6 linked regions of the Cricetulus griseus genome follow. The protein of the gene in region 3 interacts with the protein of the main gene of each other region in a pairwise test. Links are inferred from orthologs where the notes say so. Each region holds a gene or a part of one and is shown on either strand. Other genes may lie near its edges. The genes, in order: Znf410, Cdc73, Tsga10, Cchcr1, Birc2 and Mid2.

Region 1 (3,500 bases), on a different chromosome or scaffold from region 3:
TTAACGTCTTTGAGCTCTATATAAATGAGTTTATATAAATCATTCTGCTTCAACCTCATGAATGCTGGGACTGAGGTTCCACCATCTCCAGGACCTACTTGTTCTCTAAGAGATGCTCTGCCCATTACTTAAAAGTTGGAATTTTAAAACATGAGTTTATTGGTTTGGAAGATAAAGCCAAATTACTTTATACAATAGGACAACTTAATATAGGCTTCCATTCTCATCAATAAAAGAGTATTAGCTATCGAATTACCCGAACCTCTGTACAGAATGCCAAAGGAGTCTCACCATTGATGCTGGTTTTTGCATTCTTTGCCAGCTGTGCACGAGTAGCAGCAATCAAACTGTCATGGGCCAATTCCTGGACCCGGAGGAACCATGGAATGCTGCTGTCTGTGCTCTCACCAGAGAGGAAGTCATTGCCTGAATCCTCTGTCTCATCCTGCACAAACACGAAGTGCTCAGCTGAAGAGCCCAGACCTGGAAGAAGGACAATAATACAGGGAGGTCAGCCAACGTTCTTTCATTAGCCCTGGCCCAGAGACTTTCATGTCCTGAACCAAATCATTGTAGACCTTTCTATCTCACTTCAAGTTTCTGTTCCTATAAATAATTAAGATGTCATTTTTTGCCTGGCGGTGGTGTTGCACGCCTTTGATCCCAGCACTCGAGAGGCAGAGGCAGGCGGATCTCTGTGAGTTCAAGACCAGCCTGGTCTACAAGAGCTAGTTCCAGGACAGCCTCCAAAGCCACAGAGAAACCCTGTCTTGAAAACCAAAAAAAAAAAAAAAAAAAAAAAAAAAAAAAAAAAAAAAGAAGAAGAAGATAATCATTTTTTCCATCCAGTCCACATGCTAATTGTTAACTCTGCCTCCTCTTGTTTCACAGGCATAAATTTTTCTATCCCAGCAACCCAGCCACCTCCCATTTGAAATATCCCATGCCCAGTCATTCTCTCATGAACACTTCAGTTAAATTCTCTCAGTAGGGCAGGAAACACGGCTCAGCAGTTAAGAGCCCTAGGTAGGCGAGGCTGGCCTTGAACTCACAGGTCTGCCTCTGCTTCCCAAGTACTGGGATTAAAGGTGTGTGTCACCACGCCCAACTTGTTGGTTTTGTTTGAGCAACCTAGCCTAGGCTGGCCTCAAACTTGTCCTCCTGCTTTAGCTACAGGTATGTACTAAGCATTAAAACAACTCTGCCTTCTAACTGGTATTCCCATTCAGTTACATCCCATTCTCTTCTCACGCCTATCTTCCAATAACTGTTAATTTTACAAAGGTCATCTGACAGACATTTAATCTCACTAGTTCATCCTGTAGTATTTGGAATCATTTCCCACCCACCATTCTCTCCCAGTTCTCCTTGTTGTTCTGTTGTCCTCTTAAATGTCCCCCTTCCCAGGGTCCTAGGTTTACCTTTTTCTCTACATATGCTTCAAACCTCTCTAGAATCAAAGAATCCATGATCCATGTTTCACATTTTCTGAATGTGATGAGTGGCCCAACTGGCTACTTTATACCAACCCCTCGCCCACCCTGGATTCCTATTTTTCACTCTCTAAAGGTACTCCCTCCTCAATGTACCTCCAGTATCAAAACAGTAACAGACTCATTTGGAACTAAGCATCCTCCTCCAAACCTGTTCTTGCTCTTACTGTCTTGGTCAAGGGCACCACATTAGTTTTCCAAACAAGGTTTCCGGCCTGGCGGTGGTGGCATAGGCCTTTAATCCCAGCACTCTGGAGGCAGAAGCAGAGGCAGGCGGATTTCTGTGAGTTCCAGGCCAGCCTGATCTACAAATCAAGTTCCAGTTCCAGGACAGCCAGGACTGTTTCACAGAGAAATTTGGTCTCCAAAAAACAACAACAACAACAAAAAACAAAACAAAACAAAAAACCCAAAAAACAAAAGTTTCTGTTGCAGGGTATACTGGCACACTCTACCCTTGCACTCAGCAGTATAGGCAGGGGGATCCCAATTTCAAGACAGTCAGTGCTTCACAGAGAAACCACCCATATCCAAGGCATTTACCATTTGATACACAGCATCTAACACCCAACACACTTACAAGAGCAGACAGCATTCTCAGGCTGCAGAGAAGAACAGGAATGATAAAAGCCAAAATAGGAAAAGCAAACTATTCTTTGTATTTCAAGACAGGGTTTCTCTGTGGCTTTGGAGGCTGTCCTGGAACTAGCGCTTGTAGAGCAGGCTGGTCTCGAACTCACAGAGATCCTCTGCCTCTGCCTCTGCCTCCCGAGTGCTGGGACTAAAAGCGTGCACCACCACCACCCAGTGAGCAAACTATTCTTACAACTGACAAAATTTATAACCCACCATATCACAAAGTTAAACAAGAGGAAATGCAGAGTCATTGAGTCTTTGCACTTCTTTTATATATTCAACAGGTCACCAGATCACACCAACTCTAATGTAATCAAATCATAAAGATTCTTTGCGTGTTATGAATATTAAATATTGAACCGACTCTAACTTTTTCCCCTAAAAAATGAATAGAGTTCAGAAAAGATGAAAACATACCTGCTCTTGTTAGGTTAAGGAGAATAAAAGAAGTGCTATCACTTGGCTGTAGATCTTGCAACAAGCTAGGCGACTCTGGAGTGGACAGAAACTCTGGGGACTTCTGTACAGTCTGAGCCCTTGTCTCTTCTCCGTCTGGGCCCACGTTCACCTGAAGGCTCCTCAAAACAGCTGAAGAAGGGACCTCCTTGGAGGAGTTAGTGTGGTTTGGAGTATCATCTAGTGAAGGGAAACACCACAGCTTTATGTAACACTCGCCTCCAGGGAGCGCACCTTCTCAGTAAATAGCACCACAGATGCTCAACTCCACTTAGTTTCCAGGGACCTTACAAGAGTATACTGCGTTCTCATTTTTGCAAATACAAAAACTGCCTTAGAATAATCACAGGGGGGAAACAGCAAGGGAAACCACCGACATTTTGTAGATTAGTCTGTTTCACTACAGTTTGGGGTTTACAATGAATATGCATAAATAGTTTAAAACACTTGCTCTAAAGAAGTTTGTTCTAAGCTGGACACAGTGGCACATCCCTTTAGTCCCAGCACTCCGGAGGCAGAGACAGATCTCTGTGAGTTCAAGGCCAGCCTGGTCTACAGAGTAAGTTCCATGACAGCCAGGGCTACATAGAGACCCAGTCTCAAAAATCTAAAAAGGAGGTTTGCACTAAGGGGGAGGGGCACTACATGAGACTGCCTTAAAAACAAAATAAAAAAAAAATAAAAACACCCCATTTTTTAATTTTTAAAAATAAACTATTTTAAATGAAAGTTAACATTTAAAGGGGATAGGAACTAGATATAATGGTTCTATATAATCAGGAATTACACTGTGTGACGAAGTATACAATATTTCCAGAGGCTTTCACTCATCTTTGTAAGGGGCAGGTAACACCTTTTTGTCTTTTAAGCAGATGACAAATACTATCATAAAAAAATGGACAGGACCACCATTTT
Region 2 (3,500 bases), on a different chromosome or scaffold from region 3:
AATTAGAATCTATTTGTTTTAGAATTTTTCCAAGAATATTTTTGCAATTCTTCAATCTGTAAAAGCCAGAGAAGAAGGGCGTGCCCCGGAACAGCGGCCTGCTCCAAATACAGCCCCTGTGGTAAGATTCTTTTCTGATTATGTTGTTGTTTTTAAGAAAGTGACATTCGTTTTGTATTTTAGTGTTTTAATTGACATCTTAAACAATTTACATCAGTAGGGTGTAAAAGTTTTGTTACTTCAGCATACTCAAAGGCTGTAAAAGACCCTTCCCACTTTTAAAAGTTATTTCAGCAATAATTTGGGTCATTCTTGAGATACACCTGGGTGAGAGTCTGAAAAGGGGTTAACTAGGAAAAGCCTTCTAAGTTAGTTAACTTTTAGGTTATCTGTAGCTGGCCTATTTATTACTTGAGAAAATTGTTAATTATTGTTTAAATATAAATCATTGTTACCTTCCAGTTTGGACTTGTTATTTGAAATCTTTTGTGACCATTTCATATTGGTATATTTATTTTCCCTTGTCACCTGCCATATGGCCCATTTATTGTACCCCAGCTTTAACTCCTCTGGTGGTTGAGCGCCTCACTGTTTAAGGTTATTACTTAGGACCCTCCAAACCCTAAATTCATGCATGCCATATAGTCTCCATTTAAATTCATAAATACCCTCTAGTTTGCTGTAAATCTTTCTACCTGTTCTCAAGATTCAAGAAAGGCAAAAAATATAATTCAGATTAATTGTGTTTTATATAGAGTTTGGAAAAACATTGGTAGAGTGCTAAACATAGCCTTGGAAGTTAATATTAATTTTATTTATGCATGAAATCATTGATATTTAATCTTTACAGATACTGAACTATTGGTAATATTTAGATACCTTTAGTTGATGTACCAAAAATAACTAGTATCTGGTTGTTCTGTAATGTTTTGAGCAACTAGAGATAAAATAATACAATGTCATAGTTATCATTTTTAGTAAGTCAGATATTAAACACATTTATAAAATTTCAAGTTTTAGTCTTACTACTTTTTTGGTGGATTTTGGAAAATAATTTTTATTAAATATGTTTACATCGAATTTTGCTTTTCTTATTTTTTTAAGGAGTCAATTCCTACTTTAAAAATTTGTCAGTTTTTATCTTTAGTGTCATAAATTGTAACTTTAGCTTAAAGATTTTTAGAGTCCTCAATAGTTATTGGTAGGAAGAATGTGAAACCTTAAGATATTTAAACCATTGTCTTTGTGAATGTGAGTATTCCTTCTGTGTATTTTATAATCATTGAAAACAGTTGCAATATTTATGTTTGGCATTTGATCATACAGATGTATATATGTAGCTAAATTCTTGATAATTTTTCTTTTGTAATATTAGAGTGTAATCCTATTGTAACAAAATGAAGAATATATAAATATAGTGATTTTCCTAGGTAACTTTAAAATGTTTTTTTAAATAACTATTTTTAGGTTATTATAGACTATAAGTTTAGTATGAAATATTTGAATTAGATTACATAATTAGAAAGTGTCTATTTTCAAATTTTTAAAACTAACATCTATTACTTTAGTCTTATAGTATACATTAATAAGTGTTTATTGAATGCCTGTTACTTTAGTCTTTTTTTTCTTATTCTTTTTTTTTTTTGTTTTTTTGAGACAGGGTTTTTCTGTGTTTCTTTGGAGCCTATCCTGAGACTTCCTCTGTAGACCAGGCTGGCCTCGAACTCAGAGAGATCCACATACATGCCTTTGCCTCCCGAGTGCTGGGATTAAAGGTGTGCACTACTAACACCCTGCTTTCTTTTTGGTTTTTTGAGACAGGGTTACTCTGTGTAGCCCTGACTGTCTTGGAGCTCTCTCTGTTCAGATTATCATTGGAGAGAGTATTATTTCACAAAGTCATTTAAGTAATTAGAACGTATTTGTTTACCATATTATTTCTGCAGTTTTGATACAGGTATACTTGAAATTGTCTTTATTCTTGGTGTAGGGATGGTCAAGTTTTTGTTTGTTTGTTTGTTTTTTGTTTTTCGTGATAGGGTTTCTCTGTGGCTTTGGAGGCTCTCCTGGAACTAGCTCATGTAGACCAGGCTGGTCTCGAACTCAGAGATCCGCCTGCCTCTGCCTCCCAAGTGCTAGGATTAAAGGCGTGCTCCACCAACACCCAGCGGGATGATCAATTTTTAGTAGCAAATAATATTCAATAGTGAATCCTAGTTATCAAATGCCAAGTAATCTTACCTTATTTTGTCTTCTGGCCTATATTGGGAATAACACTTTTTTTTTAAGATTTTATTTATTTATTATGTATACAACATTCTGCTTCCATGTATATCTGCACACACAGAAGAGGGTACCAGATCTCATAATCAGGTTGTGAGCGACCACTCCAGCCCCTGTATCAGGTTTTAAGAATGTTAAATAAGCCCTTTTTTTTTTCCTTTTTTTTTTTTTTTTTTTTTTTTCAGGATCCCACATTGCGTACGAAGCAGCCTATTCCAGCTGCCTACAACAGATATGACCAGGAAAGATTCAAAGGCAAAGAAGGTAAGTTGCTTGTTTCATATCTTCTTCTCATCCTGGTCATGCTGAGTTTGAGTGGAAGTATAGTTTGATATTTAAGAATAAAGGTTGTCAAGTAACCTATGTAGTCCAGATATAGTTCAGTCACCTGCTTCTATAATAAAAGTTTTTGTTGTTGTTGTTTAAACAGCCATATTTACTCATTTATATGTGATCTGTAGCTGTTTAACTCTGACAACTCTTGTTGAGTAGTTTTGAGAGAGGTCATATAGCCTGTAACACTTAAAAATAGTGTTTGGACTCTATAGAACAAAATTGGTTACCCTCTTGTTGGTAGCTTTGCTTCTGGATTCAGATGGCTTGTGTTTCAGTTAATTTTTGTATGGATTTTATTTTTATTTCAACTGTATTCGGTCATTACCTCACATCTCTAATTAAATGTTAATAGCACTGACAACTTGTTGCAGCCCAAAAGTGACTCAGTTTCCATCTGGAGTCTGTTCTGACTTATAAGACATTAGAGTTCAAGCTTGCTTGTTTCAGTCTCCTTGGGAGCTGTGAGAAAGTTCTGATCAAGCCTATGGAAAAGAACAAATTATCTAACTAACAAGCTTCTGATTCCAGCCAAAAGGCATATAGAAATAGGGAATGAAGCTGCTTGTTGCTAGCAGGACTCAAGTGACAGAGAGTGAACCTGGCCTCTCTTTGATTCAAGGACAGTGCAGAGAGCTGGTTAATTGACTATGCTGTTCTTTGTTCTGCTTTGCCTGTAGTCTGTATATAAACAGGATCTAAATTAAACTCTGTTTGGTGTGCTGAAAGACATGGACCGGGCAGTCCTCCCCAATCTATCCTGTGTTTCTGTCTGTTTCTTTTATATTCCTTTACTCAATCCTCACATCCCTACTTAGATTACCCAGCTGACTCGTTGGAGCAGGCTCCAACAATAACTTAATTCATAGGGTTACTTCTGGGAT
Region 3 (3,500 bases):
AATGGACCTCAGGTCCCATGGAAGATCAGCAAGCTCTTTACCAATGAGCCATTGCTCCTGCCTCTGATCTTTTGTCTCTTTAAACAAAGATAATATAAAATGAATGTGGCAACATGCTAATGTTATTACATCTGTAGGACAGGTATAGATCTGCTTTATTATTTCTCAAAAATTTGTTGTTTTTGTTTGAAACAATTCCCAATTTAAGAAAAAAAAAAGGCTGATACTTATTCTGGTTGTGGGTACCTAAGAGAATCAAGGTAGATAGGAGAATAAGAGGCCATAATTTACAGTGCATTTATATAATTAAACTGTCAATATATTAAACTTATGAAAAGCTAAGGAGAATTCACTTAAATATGACACAGGATATACCATAAGCACATTTCTACAAACTTACTTGCTCAAGCTCTCTGTTAAGGGCATCAACTTTTTCTTTTAATCTGTTGACCTCTGCTTCAGCAGTGATAAGTTCCAATTTGAGGTTATTGTTTTCTGCCTCTGCTTGGCGGGCTTTATTTTCCCAGTTTTCAGCATCTTCGTTGGCTTTTCGGAGTTGTTCCATTATTTGCCGGTTCTCAGATTCCTGAAAAGCAAGTATTGGGTATTACAAGTGCCTGACACAAAGTGCATATGGAACACTGTTATCCAGGCCATGGGGAATCCCTTGCAACATAACCTTGGAGAAATCCTACTTACCCTCCTAGCCTAGAGAGATGGTCATCCTACTAGGAACATAAAGAAGTACCATGATCTCACCTGCTGCTTCCCCCACCCCACCCCATGACTATTTACTGACTCCTGCTGCTCTGAGCTGCTAACCTCATCAGTGTTCCCTTGCTCTCAATCACTCTAGTGAGCTGTAGTGGGCACAGAATTTCTGTACTCTTTCATATCTTAAGTTTCAACTTCTGATAAGATTTTTTATTATTATTTTAATGGTGTGGGGGGAGTGCATATGCACATTGAGTACTGGTGCCCTTGGAGACCAGAGATTTTGAGTCCCCTGGAGTTGACCTGGGTTCTGGACACTGAACTTGGATCCTCTGTAAGAATGCTCTTCCCCATTGAGCCATGTCTTGAGACTTTGAGGCTTAACTTTCTTGATCATAGACTATAATCTCTTTTTGGCTTCCTTCTATTAAACTGTCAGAAACTGCTCAGAAGGAAACTATTAAATGTGTGTTAGTAATATACACATGCATAAGTTGTACACACAATACAGAACCAGATTGTTCTGGCAGTGCTATCGATTGAACCTAAGACCTTGTATGTGCTAGACAACTACTTTACCTCTGAGTTTCATCCACCACTTGTGGGAACCAGAATCTTCAAGGTGATATCATAAATGAATTAGTTTAAGTATGACCTTCTTTCTATAGTGAAAATTCAGTTCCATAAATAATATGCTACATTAAAAAGCCATTACTGGCTACTTCAAAATCATATCTTTGGGGCTGGAGAGATGGCTCAGCAGTTAAGTGCTTATTCTGCTCTTGTAAAAGACCCAAGTTTGGTTCCCAGAAGCTCCAGTTCCAAGGAGCTCTAGCTTCTGCAGGAACCTGCACTCACATACAGACACACACACACACACACACACACACACACACACACACACAGAGAGAGAGAGAGAGAGAGAGAGAGAGAGAGAGAGAGAGAGAGAGAGAGAGAGAACATACATGCACAGAAAGAAAAAAGCTTTAGTACTGTGGTTTGCCTAACTTGTTCTTTAAACTTCAGTTACATTTTTACTAATAGTGGGAACACTCTCCTTTTTGTTAACACCATATTTCTCTATCAGAAATCCTGAGCTAAATAAAATAACCAAATTACAAAAAATTAATACCCCACCTTTTCTAAGCAAATGTATATTCTCCCATTTAAAATTACTTACTACTAAGAAACTATTGTGATCCAATTAACATTGCCATCTTGTGGTCTTAGATGTAAAAGATCTTTACCCTGACTATTAAACTAAGTGTGCACTAAAGGACTTGCCTCACAAGACCCAGAAGTTCCAAAGCTCTTGAAGGTGATGGGTACAACCTAAGAGTCCTAAGAATGCTTTACCTCTCTAAGCACTTAAATGTTATTTATGTATGCTATGAACAAAAGTTCAAAATGTTTGTATACAGATGTTAAATTATATATTAAATAAAATATGCAGCTGAGGGAAGTAAAGTTTTCACTCACACTTTGAGTCTTTGATGTAGGTAACATCACATCTATGATATTGATCTATTACTCTATTTTCGATCATTTTATCTAAATACATCTCTATTGTCCTGAGACAAGCTGTGTATTATAGAGATGACACATACATCTACAATCAGAAATCTCAGAACACTCTCTCTCTCTCTCTCTCTCTCTCTCTCTCTCACACACACACACACACACACACACACACACACACACACACACACACACACACACGCACACACACAAAACTAGTCAAATAGTGCCTAAAAGAAATACGCAAATGGTTTTAAGAAACAGGTGGTCTAATAACAGTGTGATCTGTTCTGCCCTGTCAAACAATCAGGAAGAGCCACTTTTGTCAGTTTATTTAAAAAAAAAAAGTGTAGTATTTTATGCCCCTTGTTCTTTAAGAAGAATCTACTTGCTGATGGTGTTTACTCTGCATTTAGCAAACTGAAACATACATGTTCTTGAGTCATCTTTGGGACAGGTGATTCTAAATGTATACAGTTAATCTGCCACAGCCAAAACTACAATATTTGATTAAAGAAAGACTTGATTCACTATTCTGATGAACATAATAGACCACTAAACTAAGTCTTATGAAAATTTGTAGGTATCATGAGCAAGGAAAAAAAGTGTATATGTACCTCTGACTTTAATATATTCTTCAGCTTGTTAACCTCCAAATTCGTATCCTGGACCTTCTGTTTTATATCATTGAGTTCATTATGAGTATCATTCAATTTTTTGGACAGTGCCTATGGAAAAAAGATAGCTAGACTTGACTATAATAAATAAAAATCCCTATGTGTAAAACATCTAAATTTTAAATATTTGAAACAGATGATTATATAAAATTAATATAACAACAATATAAAACTTATGTGAAAGTGGTAAAGAAACAGAAGTCCAAGAGAAAACAGGCAAAGGACCCAGACAGACAAGTCATCATAAGCGAGCATAAGTTGGTAACACTAAATTAAACTTCACTAGTAACCAAAGATTTGCTAATTAAGACAATGGAATAGTATTTTGCCTACCAAGTTAGTGAAGAGTTAAAGCTTCAGTTGTGCTAAGGAATAGGTATTTCTGTGTATTGTTTACAGTAAACAAAAATTTTTACAATGAAACTGTGAAACATTATCATAGAGATACATTGAGGCATTTTCAAATATCCATAAAGAGAAGAAAGACAGTTTCTGTATTTGAAATATAGAACATTATATTTACAATGTTTAAATTTTAAAAAATGTTTAAATGTAAACTTTTTTTTTTTTTTTGAGACAGGGTTTCTCTGT
Region 4 (3,984 bases), on a different chromosome or scaffold from region 3:
CTTTTTTGTTTTGTTTTGTTTTTTTCCCCAGACAGGATTCTCTCTATGTAGCCCTGGCTGTCAGGGAATTCACTCTGTAGACCAGGGAGGGAGTGGCCTTGAACTCAGATCTGCCTGCTTGTCTGCCTCTCTGGGATTAAAGGCAGGCCATGCCCGGCTCAAAAATAAAATCTTAAACCACATATGCCGAGCATAGCCAGCTCCAGTGGTGTATGCCGGGAAAGGCCCTTTTAACTAAGAGCCAGCATGTCACTTCGTTTCACAATGGCTTCTGGGCAATCCATCTCCTCCCTCAGACATTTACACTCCTTCTTTATTGTTAACTATATGTTTTTACTTGATAACTGTTTTTGTTATATATAATTTTACTATGTTAAAGTAAAAGTAAACCCTTCTTTTTATTTAGACAGAAAAGAGGAGATGATGGGGGATGCCCTTCAGTATATATGTTTCTTTTATTGGTTGATGAATAAAACACTGTTTGGCCAAAAGAGGCAGGAAGATAGGTGGGGCAGGGAGACAGGGAGAACCCTGGGAGAGATGCAGGGAGGAGATGCCATGTAGCTGCCAAAGGAGTAACAGGTCTGGGCATTTTCTGGTAAGCCAAGACCACGTGGAAATACATAGATTTATAGAAGTGGGTTAATGATGAAGAGAGAGCTAGCCACCAAGAAGCCCTAGCCATTGGCCAACTGTTTTATAACTAATATAGTGTCTGTGTGTTTATTTGGGGCTGAAGCGGTGGCAGGACCTGGAGGAAAAGAAACTCTAGCAACACTTGTTAATTGGGAATTTAAGTCCAGAGCGCGCGCTCTCTCTCTCTCTCTCTCCTCTCTCTTGATTTTCTCCAGGGCATAATGGTATATGCAGTGTAGGTACCAACAATGGCCTACAGAAAACCACACAAGTTATGGAACCCAGGGCTGCTGAAATAAAGGAATGTGTGTATAAAGGATCATTAGCAAGTCTGAGAAAAAGGTGATTGACAGATCCCTACCTGCCTCTCTGCCCTGGCCCCTGCCCATCTCCATAGACATCCTGTTCCCTCATGGTCACTGTGGGCCTCTGAGAGTCCAGCTGCCGCCTCTCTAGGACATCTTGGTCAAATGTGGATTGGAACTGGGGAATGTCTGAAGCCCAGGTCGGGGCCATTCTCGGCCGAGCTTGGAAGTGGGAGGGAGGAACCAGTCCAGCAAAACCTGAGGGGGTGGGTCACAAGAGTAAAGACTGTCAGTTTCTCAGAGAGAGAGAGGAAGACGGAGGGAGGGAGGGAGGGAGGGAGGGAGGGAGGGGGAGGGAGGAAGGGAAGGAGAGAGAGAGGGAGAGAAAGAGAGGAGAGGGAGGGAGAGAGGGAGAAAGACAGAGGCAGAGAGACACAGAGAGACTTCCCAGCCTCCTTGATTGGCCTTACTGACCTGAGGGAGACAACATCTCCACTCTATCTGAAGCCTCTCGATCTTGTCCGCAAGAGTGTAGGTTCCCCTGGACAGTAGGAGAAACAAGGAGACTCCAGTTCAGTTTTCAGGCCACCTTCCAAAGAGGAAGTCCTATAATAACAAAGCCACAATCCTTCAGTTACTGACAGATCTGCCCAGCTCTGAGCTTCTCTCTCCCTACTTCCCTAACAAGGCAGACTTGCTTGTCCCGAACACACGCTCCTGACAAAGGAACCAGGCAACAATCATGGGGTAAATGTACCGAGATGGGGGCCAGGGGATGCTCTTGGGGATTTTGCTTCTACTACAGGATTGTGAGTGGTGCCTTTACCTTCCTCCTTAAGTGTCTACGATCCCTGTAGCTCTGGTCTGGAGGTGAGCGGGCCTGTTGTGAACCCCGTCTCCACAGTTCTCGCCATGGTATGGTAGGGACGTTGGGAAACCCATCTAGGCACCACCGCGCCATGATTTCTGGGTCATTTCCTACAAAAGCGTTAGCCCAAGGCCTGGCACCAGAAGAATGGGGCCTCATGTAGGGTTAAGCGGCTTCCCTAGGATCCCCAGGGAATGCAAGCAGCCTGGAGCGCGTTGCCAGGCAGCCAGCTTCCTGTTATCTCATCGGAGTCTCCCTGCAGCGGGCCTCAGTTTCTCTCTATCCCCTCTGCTTCCATTCCCGAAGCCCTTCGCTGCTCAGAGTCCTGCAGCATCTTCTTTGTCCAACTCCCGTCCGAACTCAAATTTTTTGTTTGTTTGTTTGTTTTCCACTCAACGAGATCCCTACACGCTTCTCTTCCTAGTCCTACTCTGCATTTTTCTTGACGTTATGGTCCCGGTCGCTCGCTGTCCTCAGGTCTGCCCTCTCCTCTCCTGCACACACCCACGGGCTCATCCCCCTCACTAGGACCCTGAGCTGTAAGGCTGCCCCGACCTCCTCATCTGTTCTTTCACCGGGCTCCTGCACCCCTCCTGCCCTGTGGACCCCCTCCACCCTCCTGAGCACCCCCTCTCAGGCCCCTTTCCGCCCCCAACCAACCGACTCCGGCCGAACGCTCCTTACCCAGCGCGAGGTCCGCCTTCTTGCCACGCCCCTTAGCCCCTGGCTTCCCCGCTAGGCTTCCCGCCCTGAGCACGCATGCGCGCGGCGGGTGGGGTTGGCGGGATGCTCTAAAGCCCCAACTCGCCCCGCCTGCCGGAAGGAGGAAGGAAGAAGAACGGCGCACGCAGGCACACTGACTCCTCCAGGCCTTCTCCGCGCCCTGGCGGCCCCGCCCCATCCCGGGAACCCGGGAAACCTGCAGGCCAATCAGAAACGGCGGAGGGCGGGAGATGGACGGCCCCTCCCTGCGCATCGTCCAGTACAGCGGAGGAGGGCGAGTCAGATGGCCAATCAGAGACAGCCTGGGGAGGGGCGCGGGCTCGCAGGCGCGAAGCTGGACCCGGGAATTCCGTAGGAGGAGTCTGCGCGGTGCGCGCCCGCCGGCTCGCCCGCTCGCCCGCCCGAGCCGCGCCCTCCGGAGGGCGGCTTCCTGGCTGTCAAACCGCAGCGGGAGCGAGGGGCACAGGGTGTGGAGTCCTTCTTCGGGGCACCCCGCAAGCGCAAGAGGAGAGGGTGAGCTCCACCTTGTTGCAGAGTTAGGGACCTGTCTGCGCCGCCCTTTGTGGGTGACAGCGGATTCCCTTCCCTCGGGGCAGGACAGAAGGGGTGCTCTACCTGGATTAGGAAGTTTGACCTGTAGGCTTCCCTCCCGGCTCCTGCTTACACTCGAGGGGACACGTTCGTGTCGCACGCACGTCCGTGTAGCGGGACCTCCTCACCCCGCTGGGGTGTCCCCAGCTGCCGCTTAAAGTAGCTTTGCCTTGAACAGATTGCTACAGCCTCCCCGGATATTCTGCGGCCTGAGGACCCGGCATCACGGAGGTCCCACAGGACGTCTTCCTGGTTTTGCATCGCGAAAGGGCTTCTCCGGAATTGCTTTTGAAGTCTCATCTTGACAGCCGCTAGCTACAGCGGTTGCATGCGTGTCCAGGCCTCTGGCGCTCTTGGAAATCTGTGTTTCTCAAGTTGGCATTACCCACAGTGGGGCTGCTGACGTCAGACAACTGAACCGAAGCCCCCGGTGCATGGCCTGGGAGTAGGAGAGGTGATGAACTGCTGAGAAGCGGTGCAGAGGGGAGCACCCCCCCATGCTGCCCTGCTTCCAGCTGCTGCGCATAGGGGGCGGCAGGGGCGGTGATCTCTACACCTTCCACCCCCCGTCCAGGTCAGGCTGCACCTATCGGTTGGGCTGCAGGGCTGACCTGTGTGATGTGGCCCTGCGGCCCCAGCAGGAGCCGGGCCTCATCTCTGGGGTCCATGCATTGCTGCACGCTGAGCTCCAAGGGGACGACTGGCGGGTCAGCCTGGAGGACCACAGCAGTCAAGGTAAGCGGTGAGCAGGCAGCCCCAGGATGGCATGAGTAGGGGAGCCTCTGGGACTCCATACCTGCCTCCCAGAGTCCCTGTCAATCTCTGGTAGAGCAGACAAGCAGGATCCGGTTTGATCTGCCC
Region 5 (3,500 bases), on a different chromosome or scaffold from region 3:
GAGAAGTGGGCTTGCACATTCGTTACCTATTCCAGAACGAGCGGGTACTCACTCCAACTTGTCCTCAAATCCTCTCAATTCTAGAGCAGTGGAAGACTTGTCATCAAGGACCAATCCCTGCAGCTATGCCATGATTACTGAAGAGGCCAGATTTCTTACTTACAGTATGTGGCCATTAAGCTTTCTGTCACCAGCTGAGCTGGCCAGAGCCGGCTTCTACTATGTGGGACCTGGAGACAGGGTGGCCTGCTTTGCGTGTGGTGGAAAACTGAGCAACTGGGAACCGAAGGATGACGCTATGTCAGAGCATCGGAGACATTTTCCCAACTGTCCATTTCTGGAAAATTCTTCAGAAACGCAGAGGTTTAGTATATCAAATCTGAGTATGCAGACACATACTGCTCGAATGAGGACGTTTCTGTGCTGGCCGTCCAGTGTTCCTGTTCAGCCTGAGCAGCTTGCAAGTGCTGGATTTTACTATGTGGGTAAGATGTTAACAGAGACTAGAACTTTCTCTTTTTTGTTTATGGGAATATACATGAGTCAGTTTCTCATCTTCTTTTCTTGTTTAGATCGCAATGATGATGTCAAATGCTTTTGTTGTGATGGTGGCTTGAGGTGTTGGGAATCTGGAGATGACCCCTGGGTAGAACATGCCAAATGGTTTCCAAGGTAATTGGTTCTTTGATTGTTTTTGTTGAGACAGGGTCTTTCTGTGTAGCCCTGGCTGTTCTGAAACTAGCTCAGGCTGGCCTGGAACTCAACAGCAATCTGCCTGCCTCTGCCTCCTGAGTGCTGGGATTAAAGGCATGTGCCACCGATGCCCGGCTATCCCTAACCTCTTAATTTTTATTATTGCTTAAAATAAATTTAGGGGCACAGTTGTTAGTGAAATAGAATTAGAAATTGTATATTTGTAACCAATTAACTATGTGAACTTGGACATAATTTCTAAAATAAATGGGCTGTTAGGAGTTTTTATCATGATAAAATATACATAAAAATATACCAATTTAGCCTTCTAAAATGTATTCTTGTGCAGCATAAAGTGCATGTGTACTGTTTTACAGTCATGTTCAGAGCCTTTTCATCTTCTCACTCTGAAACTCTGTATCCCATACACTTGAAAGCATCCCCCCCACCCCTGGCAACCAGCCTTTTACTTGCTATATCTGAATTTTTTACTTTAGGTACCACATGTAAGTGGAATCATACAATGAAGAAAGTTTGGACTTGTGCATGCCTTCCATAATAATGATAAATCTGTTGGACCTCCTTCAGGAAATTACAGGGACCTTTGGTCATTTTTGTGTGATATATGATGAAAAGGAATTTGGAAGTAGAAATGTTTATAGTGGATCAATCCATTGTATATGATGGGGTAGGGAGTGCACCCATGCCCACACGCCTTTAATCTCAGCACTTAGGTGGAAGAGGCATGTAATCTCTGTGAGCAGAGGCCAGACTGGTCTACATAGCAAGTTCAGGTCAGCTCAGGTTGAGGCAGAAGGAGTCTGAGGTCAAGGTTAACTTGGGCTACATTGTGAGCCCCAGACCAACTCAGCTAGTTGGCCAGACCCGATCTGGAAAAAAACAGTAAGCAAAAAAAAAATTCTTATCCAAGGAAAATAAAGCACAATTTGCTAGTGGAGGTCATAGGACAACTCTTCTTTCACCATGTGGGTTCTGTGAATGGAATGCAGGTCGTCAGGCTTGGTGGCAGGCATTTCTGAAGGCACCCAGAGTTTGTTTCAAGGGTTCTCTTAATGCAACAAATTTGACAAGTGATTTCATAATGTTGTAGGTCTTATTGGAGGTTGATCTTTAAGAACATGTTTGAAAAAAAGCAACATTTCTCCATAGTAATGCTAGTATGAATTTAGTCTTCACTGTTGAAAATGTCAGAATTTTAAATGACAACCATACTTGTGGGCTTATATGTTGTAACTTGAAATTTAACTTATATATAAAAGACAAAAACGTTCTAAATTCTAACATTTGAATTGCTATACTTTGTAAAACAAAATTCTTCACCCTGTTTTAAATGCCAAGGGAGAAGACAGGAATGGTTTTTGTCAGTGCAGCTCAGAACAGGTTTCAGCTGTGACTGTTTGCTCTCAGCAAAGACAGACTAACAGATGGTCATTATCACTAGGTTTTAGTATATATAGTTCACTCATTTGTCAGATTCAGGTGTGCTGCGCTCTGAGGGCAGTCAGGACTGCTATACTACATGTCTTTAACCATTCTGCTGATTGGTTTCTGTCATTGACACACTGGTCACCTGGGAAGAGGGACCTCAGCTGAGGATTGCCTCCCTCACATCTTAAAGCAGTCTGCTATGAAAACTGATGATTTCAGCTGCACAGAAACTGCCTCTGTCTTCCCAGCATACCATGGCTTTGGTGTCACTATATCCTTCTAAGTTTATTTATTGTTTATCTTCTTTCTTTCTTTCTTTCTTTCTTTCTTTCTTTCTTTCTTTCTTTCTTTCTTTCTTTTTTTGGTTTTTCGAGACAGGGTTTCTCTGTGTAGCTTTGGAGCCTATCCTGGCACTTGGTCTGGAGACCAGGCTGGCCTCGAACTCACAGAGATCCTCCTGCCTCTGCCTCCTGAGTGCTGGGATTAAAGGCGTGGGCCACCAACGCCTGGCCTATTGTTTATTTTTCATATGATAATTGTAGCTACAGTTATTTCTAATACTGTTTTTATTAGGATAGTTGTCACTATAGTTGTAGCTATAGTTATTTCTAACACTGCCTTTATTTAATAGGACAGTTATAACTACAATTGTAGTTACAGTTGTTTTTAGCACTGTGATGGACTGGGGTAGTACTGAAGGTTGATTCTGGGCTTTGTGCATTGTAGATAGGCACTTTACCTGAGTCCCAGTGTTTGTTTTTTTTTTTACCTTTATGATAGAGTTGAATTATTTACACTCTGCATTACAATGTGGAGAAGTCTGAAGATGATTATGTATTTGTCTTCACCTGTAAATTTTGTACTTTCCTGTGCTCTCAAGAATTGCTCTTTGTATTCTTTCATTATAGCTTGTGTATCTGTCTTGTTCTCTTGAAACTCACCACACTCCCTGAAGATGAATATTACTTGCTTATCTGACAGCAGTTTGTAAACACCTTTCTCTTCCTTCTTTTGAATTGGTTCTTGGAAAATTTTTGTCTCCCTTTGTTGTTAGAGTTTTTGTTTTATTTATTTGTTAGTTACTTGTAATCCTGCTTCTTAGATTTTGTGTTGAGCAAAGACCTTTAACTGTGGGTGGGTGTGAGGGTTTGGGCTTGTCAGGGGTATGGCAGGCCCAGACTCCTTGGGAAGTGCAGTTTCATAGTCTCCATGGAGCTTCTGTTAGCTGAAATCCTTGTTAGTGAAGGTTTTAGAGATTCTCAGTGTCTGGGCAGCATCAAAGCTTATGATCTTTCCTGTCATGGGAAACACCCTGGCCAATGGGACCCCTGTTATACCTGTTCTGGCTTGTGAGTGTT
Region 6 (3,500 bases), on a different chromosome or scaffold from region 3:
CTATTTTTTAGCGTAAGTCTAGTAACTATGTATTTGAGAGTAACAAAACTATATTTCTTTGAAATATTCTATGACAATTTTTAATAATTCAAATAAATCTCCTCTATTAAATAATATCAATGAAATTATGCTACACAGCACACTAGACCAGAATCAATTTTCAATGTAGCAGTAGCATCTCTTAAGCAATCTTGTCCACAGAGCTCTCCTAATCTAACCAAGAGCTCTTCTCACTCCCTGTGTCTTGATTGCATGTGTTTTTATGTGTGACAGGAGGGGGTCTGGGAAGAAAGGCTAAAAGGTAAGAAGAGAAAAACACCAGTCTACTGTGATGTTTCATCTAGGGGATAAGAATGGACAGTATAATTCATTTTCCTTTTCAATATATCTCTCACTTAAATGAACAAATTAAGGTTTATCGTATATATGTAATAGATAAAATGATCTATGCCATTTTGCTCATAAAATGAATTCAGTCATTTTATATATTATATATACACATGTATGATATTCTCATAACACCTTGATTGTTAGTTTATTAAAAAGTGACAAATATGATAATTTGAAACTGTGCAAATTCCATCTGGTCCACCTAGCCACTGCTAGAAAGGCTAATTCTTTCCAATTTCATTTATACTCTCAAACCACTGGGAATTTTTAATTTCCCAATGATGACAGAGATATTCTCTAAAATTCTTCCCCAATGTCATGAACCCAGACTATTCAGATCATTTGTTCTGAGTAACTCAATACATGAATCCAAACATAAGCTTTAATGCACAAAAAATTAAATCTACAATATCTAGTTATTTAGGGTGCTTCCAATGAACTGTATTTTGTATCTCACATATGGAACACTAATGGCGGCTCAAGAGGGGAAGAAATGCTGAAGTGGAGAGCCAGTGAATTACATGCTCTCTTGCCATTTAATGGCAAGCTTTCATCCCAGACACATAGGGGGATTCTTTAGGCCTGCAGTTGCATTCCTGCTGCTCAGGGTAATCAATAAAATCTGGGGCAGGCAAGCCAGACATGATCATGAGGGATTTGTTCCAGATTGTGAATGTTGGACAAACTGGAAGAATGAAGGTCACATCAAAAGTGTGGAGATGGAGCGAGTTAGCTGGGTCATAGAAAGACAGCATGTTGTTGTCATAATCCAAGAGGACACCTAGACGCTTCAGCTGTGGGGGCACATCCACAAGCATTTCCTTGTTGTTATGTCTCACCACGAAGTTACTGTTGCATCGGGAGAAGACCCAGGAAGAGGCATTCTTGCCAATCCACTCATTCTTTGGAGCTGATTTGTAGGCGATACCAATTGCATACCTGAGACAGTGGAGGAGAAGACAGAAAAGTATTTATGGATGATATGAGTTGTGTTAGACATTATTTAGGACCTACGAGTGACTCACTGTGCTTCTTCCTTAAAACATTTATATTTACAGGCATAATGCTAATTATCATCAGATCTTGTAAAGCCAGCAATTAGAGTGATACAGCACTTCAGCTCCTAGCCCACTATATTTTCCATGATTTTTATCTTTTAAAAGCTGGCCAAGTTTTCTAGCACTGGTGCCTATCATATATCTCTTAACCTTGACTTATTGGTATTTTAGCTGTGCGGTAGAATTGAATCTCCTAGGAACCTAACAGCAGAGAAGCTGGGACAAGGAAAGAAAAAAATAGCCACTCACCATGTTGAAGAACCCATGACTACCTCCCAGTAGTGGCAGCCACTGTCAATGAATATATTTCCTGCTGCCCCATAACACCCAGTGCCACTAAATCTCTCTGGGGTATGGCTTTTCTTCAGAGAGCTTTCATCCTTCTCCATCTGCAATCCATCATTGGAGATCTTCAACTTCTTGTGAGTCATTTTGGGATCTAGTTTAAAGGGTTGGCCTGAAAAAAAGTAGAGGAAAGGGGGAAAGCATGATCAAGGATTTAAGAACTGTGCCTTTCCCTCCGGGACCATCATTAGCAGAGGATCCTCAACATGACGGTGATCCTTCGCTAAGTGCAGGTCAGCTGGAGTTTGGATTATATTAAGGAAGCAGGCAAGATGGCACACTTTGCAATTAAGTCAGAATACAAGTCATTCCTCCCCTAAAATAACCTTCATTCAGGCATTATTTTCCATCTGTGTGAAAAATGTGGGGCTCTCATATGAGTGCTATGCTGGAAGCCAGAGTCCAAGCACATGGGAGCTAGTAAAGTATTCCCATCATATGTTATGAAACTAAAAGGGACCACTCAAAGTCTCACATCCTCAAATATGTTTGGTACTTTGGTTTATTTCAGTGAGTGGGTGGGGATGTGGGTAGATTTTTTAAAAGAGTGTTGCAATGTTTGAGGTAGAAAAGCTTGTGTTAATGAGGCCATTGATCACTAAAGAAAAACTGAGAAGAGCTCAGCAACCGGAGATGTTGGCTTTCTAATTGGAGAGTGCGTGTCATTAGTCGACTTTGTTACAGTGACTGCTCCATGGTCGATGATGAAAGATAACATGTGCTTTGCTGCAGAAACTCATAACCCTATGCCAAAAACACTGTCCCAGGCCCCCGGTGCTGGTTAGGGCAAGAGATTTAGTACACAATATGCCTCTGTAACAGACACTGTGTGCTAATACAGTATCCATTACTTATTTTTTTCTCTCTCTCTCACTCAGTCTTCCAGCCTTCCTTGCTGCTAGGGACAGCTAATAAGAAGGACACTGAAGTCAAAGAGACTGGAAGAAATTTCCAGTTAAGCTTCTGTTTCCTAATTAAAAGATTACCAACTTTTCCCTTCTTCCTAGTAAGGGAACTATGACATCAGCAGTTGCACTGGCCATCTTTCGACCTTGTGGGTAAACCAATGCACAAAGAAGGAGCTCCAACCTTCCATGAGATCTCAGAGCTGCTATACTAGCCATGATCAGGCTGCCCTCAAACTTCTTGCTATGTATGTTTAAACACAAACAAACTAACTAAAACAACTAGTAACTTAAGCTACTTGGAAATACTTGTTAAACTGTGTCAGTTGTGACCGAGAACATTCCTAACCGATAGGGCTTCTCTATGGTAGAGCTTTGTAGATCGTCATAAGAAACAACTCTTTAACTGAATTTTTCTCCCAAGCATAGGACCCAGGGGTGGAAGGCAGAGAAAAACCCTTCCCTAACTTCTTTCTAGGCCACAAGCTATTCTATATATCTTAGGCCACAAACATCCATGGGTACCAACAAATCCCATAGACCAAGCATAACAGTAAAGCTCCTCCACTCAGAGCCACTGCTCTCACACATTATAATGGGGGAGTCTCTCAGGCTAACTGTCCTCCCTGGCACAGAGAGGAAAGCTGGTCTTTCCTTCTAGAATCTCCAAAACGTACTGTTTGTTTTTAGCCTGGTGGGTTCACTGTTCCGGCTGCCCGCTTGATTTATGGCTTTCACAATAAAGATGTAGCGTGTCCCACTCTGGAGTCCATGCACTGTGTAATGGTTCTGTTTAATGTTG

Evidence for each region.
Region 1: the proteins of Tsga10 (region 3) and Znf410 interact in binary tests that used the Homo sapiens proteins (3 or more experiments, as listed by UniProt). The two-hybrid records come from large-scale screens. The link is inferred for Cricetulus griseus from reciprocal best matches to the Homo sapiens genes TSGA10 and ZNF410.
Region 2: the proteins of Tsga10 (region 3) and Cdc73 interact in binary tests that used the Homo sapiens proteins (3 or more experiments, as listed by UniProt). The two-hybrid records come from large-scale screens. The link is inferred for Cricetulus griseus from reciprocal best matches to the Homo sapiens genes TSGA10 and CDC73.
Region 4: the proteins of Tsga10 (region 3) and Cchcr1 interact in binary tests that used the Homo sapiens proteins (3 or more experiments, as listed by UniProt). The link is inferred for Cricetulus griseus from reciprocal best matches to the Homo sapiens genes TSGA10 and CCHCR1.
Region 5: the proteins of Tsga10 (region 3) and Birc2 interact in binary tests that used the Homo sapiens proteins (3 or more experiments, as listed by UniProt). The two-hybrid records come from large-scale screens. The link is inferred for Cricetulus griseus from reciprocal best matches to the Homo sapiens genes TSGA10 and BIRC2.
Region 6: the proteins of Tsga10 (region 3) and Mid2 interact in binary tests that used the Homo sapiens proteins (3 or more experiments, as listed by UniProt). The two-hybrid records come from large-scale screens. The link is inferred for Cricetulus griseus from reciprocal best matches to the Homo sapiens genes TSGA10 and MID2.

What each region holds. Positions count from the first base shown.
Region 1 is NC_048598.1:119,449,113-119,452,612, forward strand, and holds part of Znf410 (zinc finger protein 410), read right to left. Parts: intron 2,766-3,500; coding exon 2,547-2,765; intron 484-2,546; coding exon 292-483; intron 1-291. UniProt on the Homo sapiens protein: Transcription factor that binds to the sequence motif 5'-CATCCCATAATA-3', and is specifically required to silence expression of fetal hemoglobin in adult erythroid cells.
Region 2 is NC_048598.1:46,750,515-46,754,014, forward strand, and holds part of Cdc73 (parafibromin), read left to right. Parts: intron 1-22; coding exon 23-121; intron 122-2,468; coding exon 2,469-2,547; intron 2,548-3,500.
Region 3 is NW_023276807.1:10,438,847-10,442,346, reverse strand, and holds part of Tsga10 (testis-specific gene 10 protein), read right to left. Parts: intron 2,961-3,500; coding exon 2,850-2,960; intron 587-2,849; coding exon 401-586; intron 1-400. UniProt on the Homo sapiens protein: Plays a role in spermatogenesis. When overexpressed, prevents nuclear localization of HIF1A.
Region 4 is NW_023276806.1:229,456,841-229,460,824, reverse strand, and holds the start of Cchcr1 (coiled-coil alpha-helical rod protein 1), read right to left. Parts: upstream 2,801-3,984; 5' UTR 2,786-2,800; coding exon 2,494-2,785; intron 2,488-2,493; exon of another isoform or gene 2,470-2,487; intron 1,943-2,469; exon of another isoform or gene 1,920-1,942; coding exon 1,768-1,919; intron 1,548-1,767; exon of another isoform or gene 1,483-1,547; coding exon 1,416-1,482; intron 1,200-1,415; coding exon 998-1,199; intron 1-997. Other genes in the region: Tcf19 (transcription factor 19), read left to right, coding at 3,621-3,858. UniProt on the Homo sapiens protein: May be a regulator of keratinocyte proliferation or differentiation.
Region 5 is NC_048597.1:122,214,306-122,217,805, reverse strand, and holds part of Birc2 (baculoviral IAP repeat-containing protein 2), read left to right. Parts: coding exon 1-485; intron 486-572; coding exon 573-672; intron 673-3,500. UniProt on the Homo sapiens protein: Multi-functional protein which regulates not only caspases and apoptosis, but also modulates inflammatory signaling and immunity, mitogenic kinase signaling, and cell proliferation, as well as cell invasion and metastasis.
Region 6 is NC_048604.1:39,570,550-39,574,049, forward strand, and holds part of Mid2 (probable E3 ubiquitin-protein ligase MID2), read right to left. Parts: coding exon 3,376-3,500; intron 1,906-3,375; coding exon 1,698-1,905; intron 1,330-1,697; coding exon 927-1,329; 3' UTR 1-926. UniProt on the Homo sapiens protein: E3 ubiquitin ligase that plays a role in microtubule stabilization. Mediates the 'Lys-48'-linked polyubiquitination of LRRK2 to drive its localization to microtubules and its proteasomal degradation in neurons.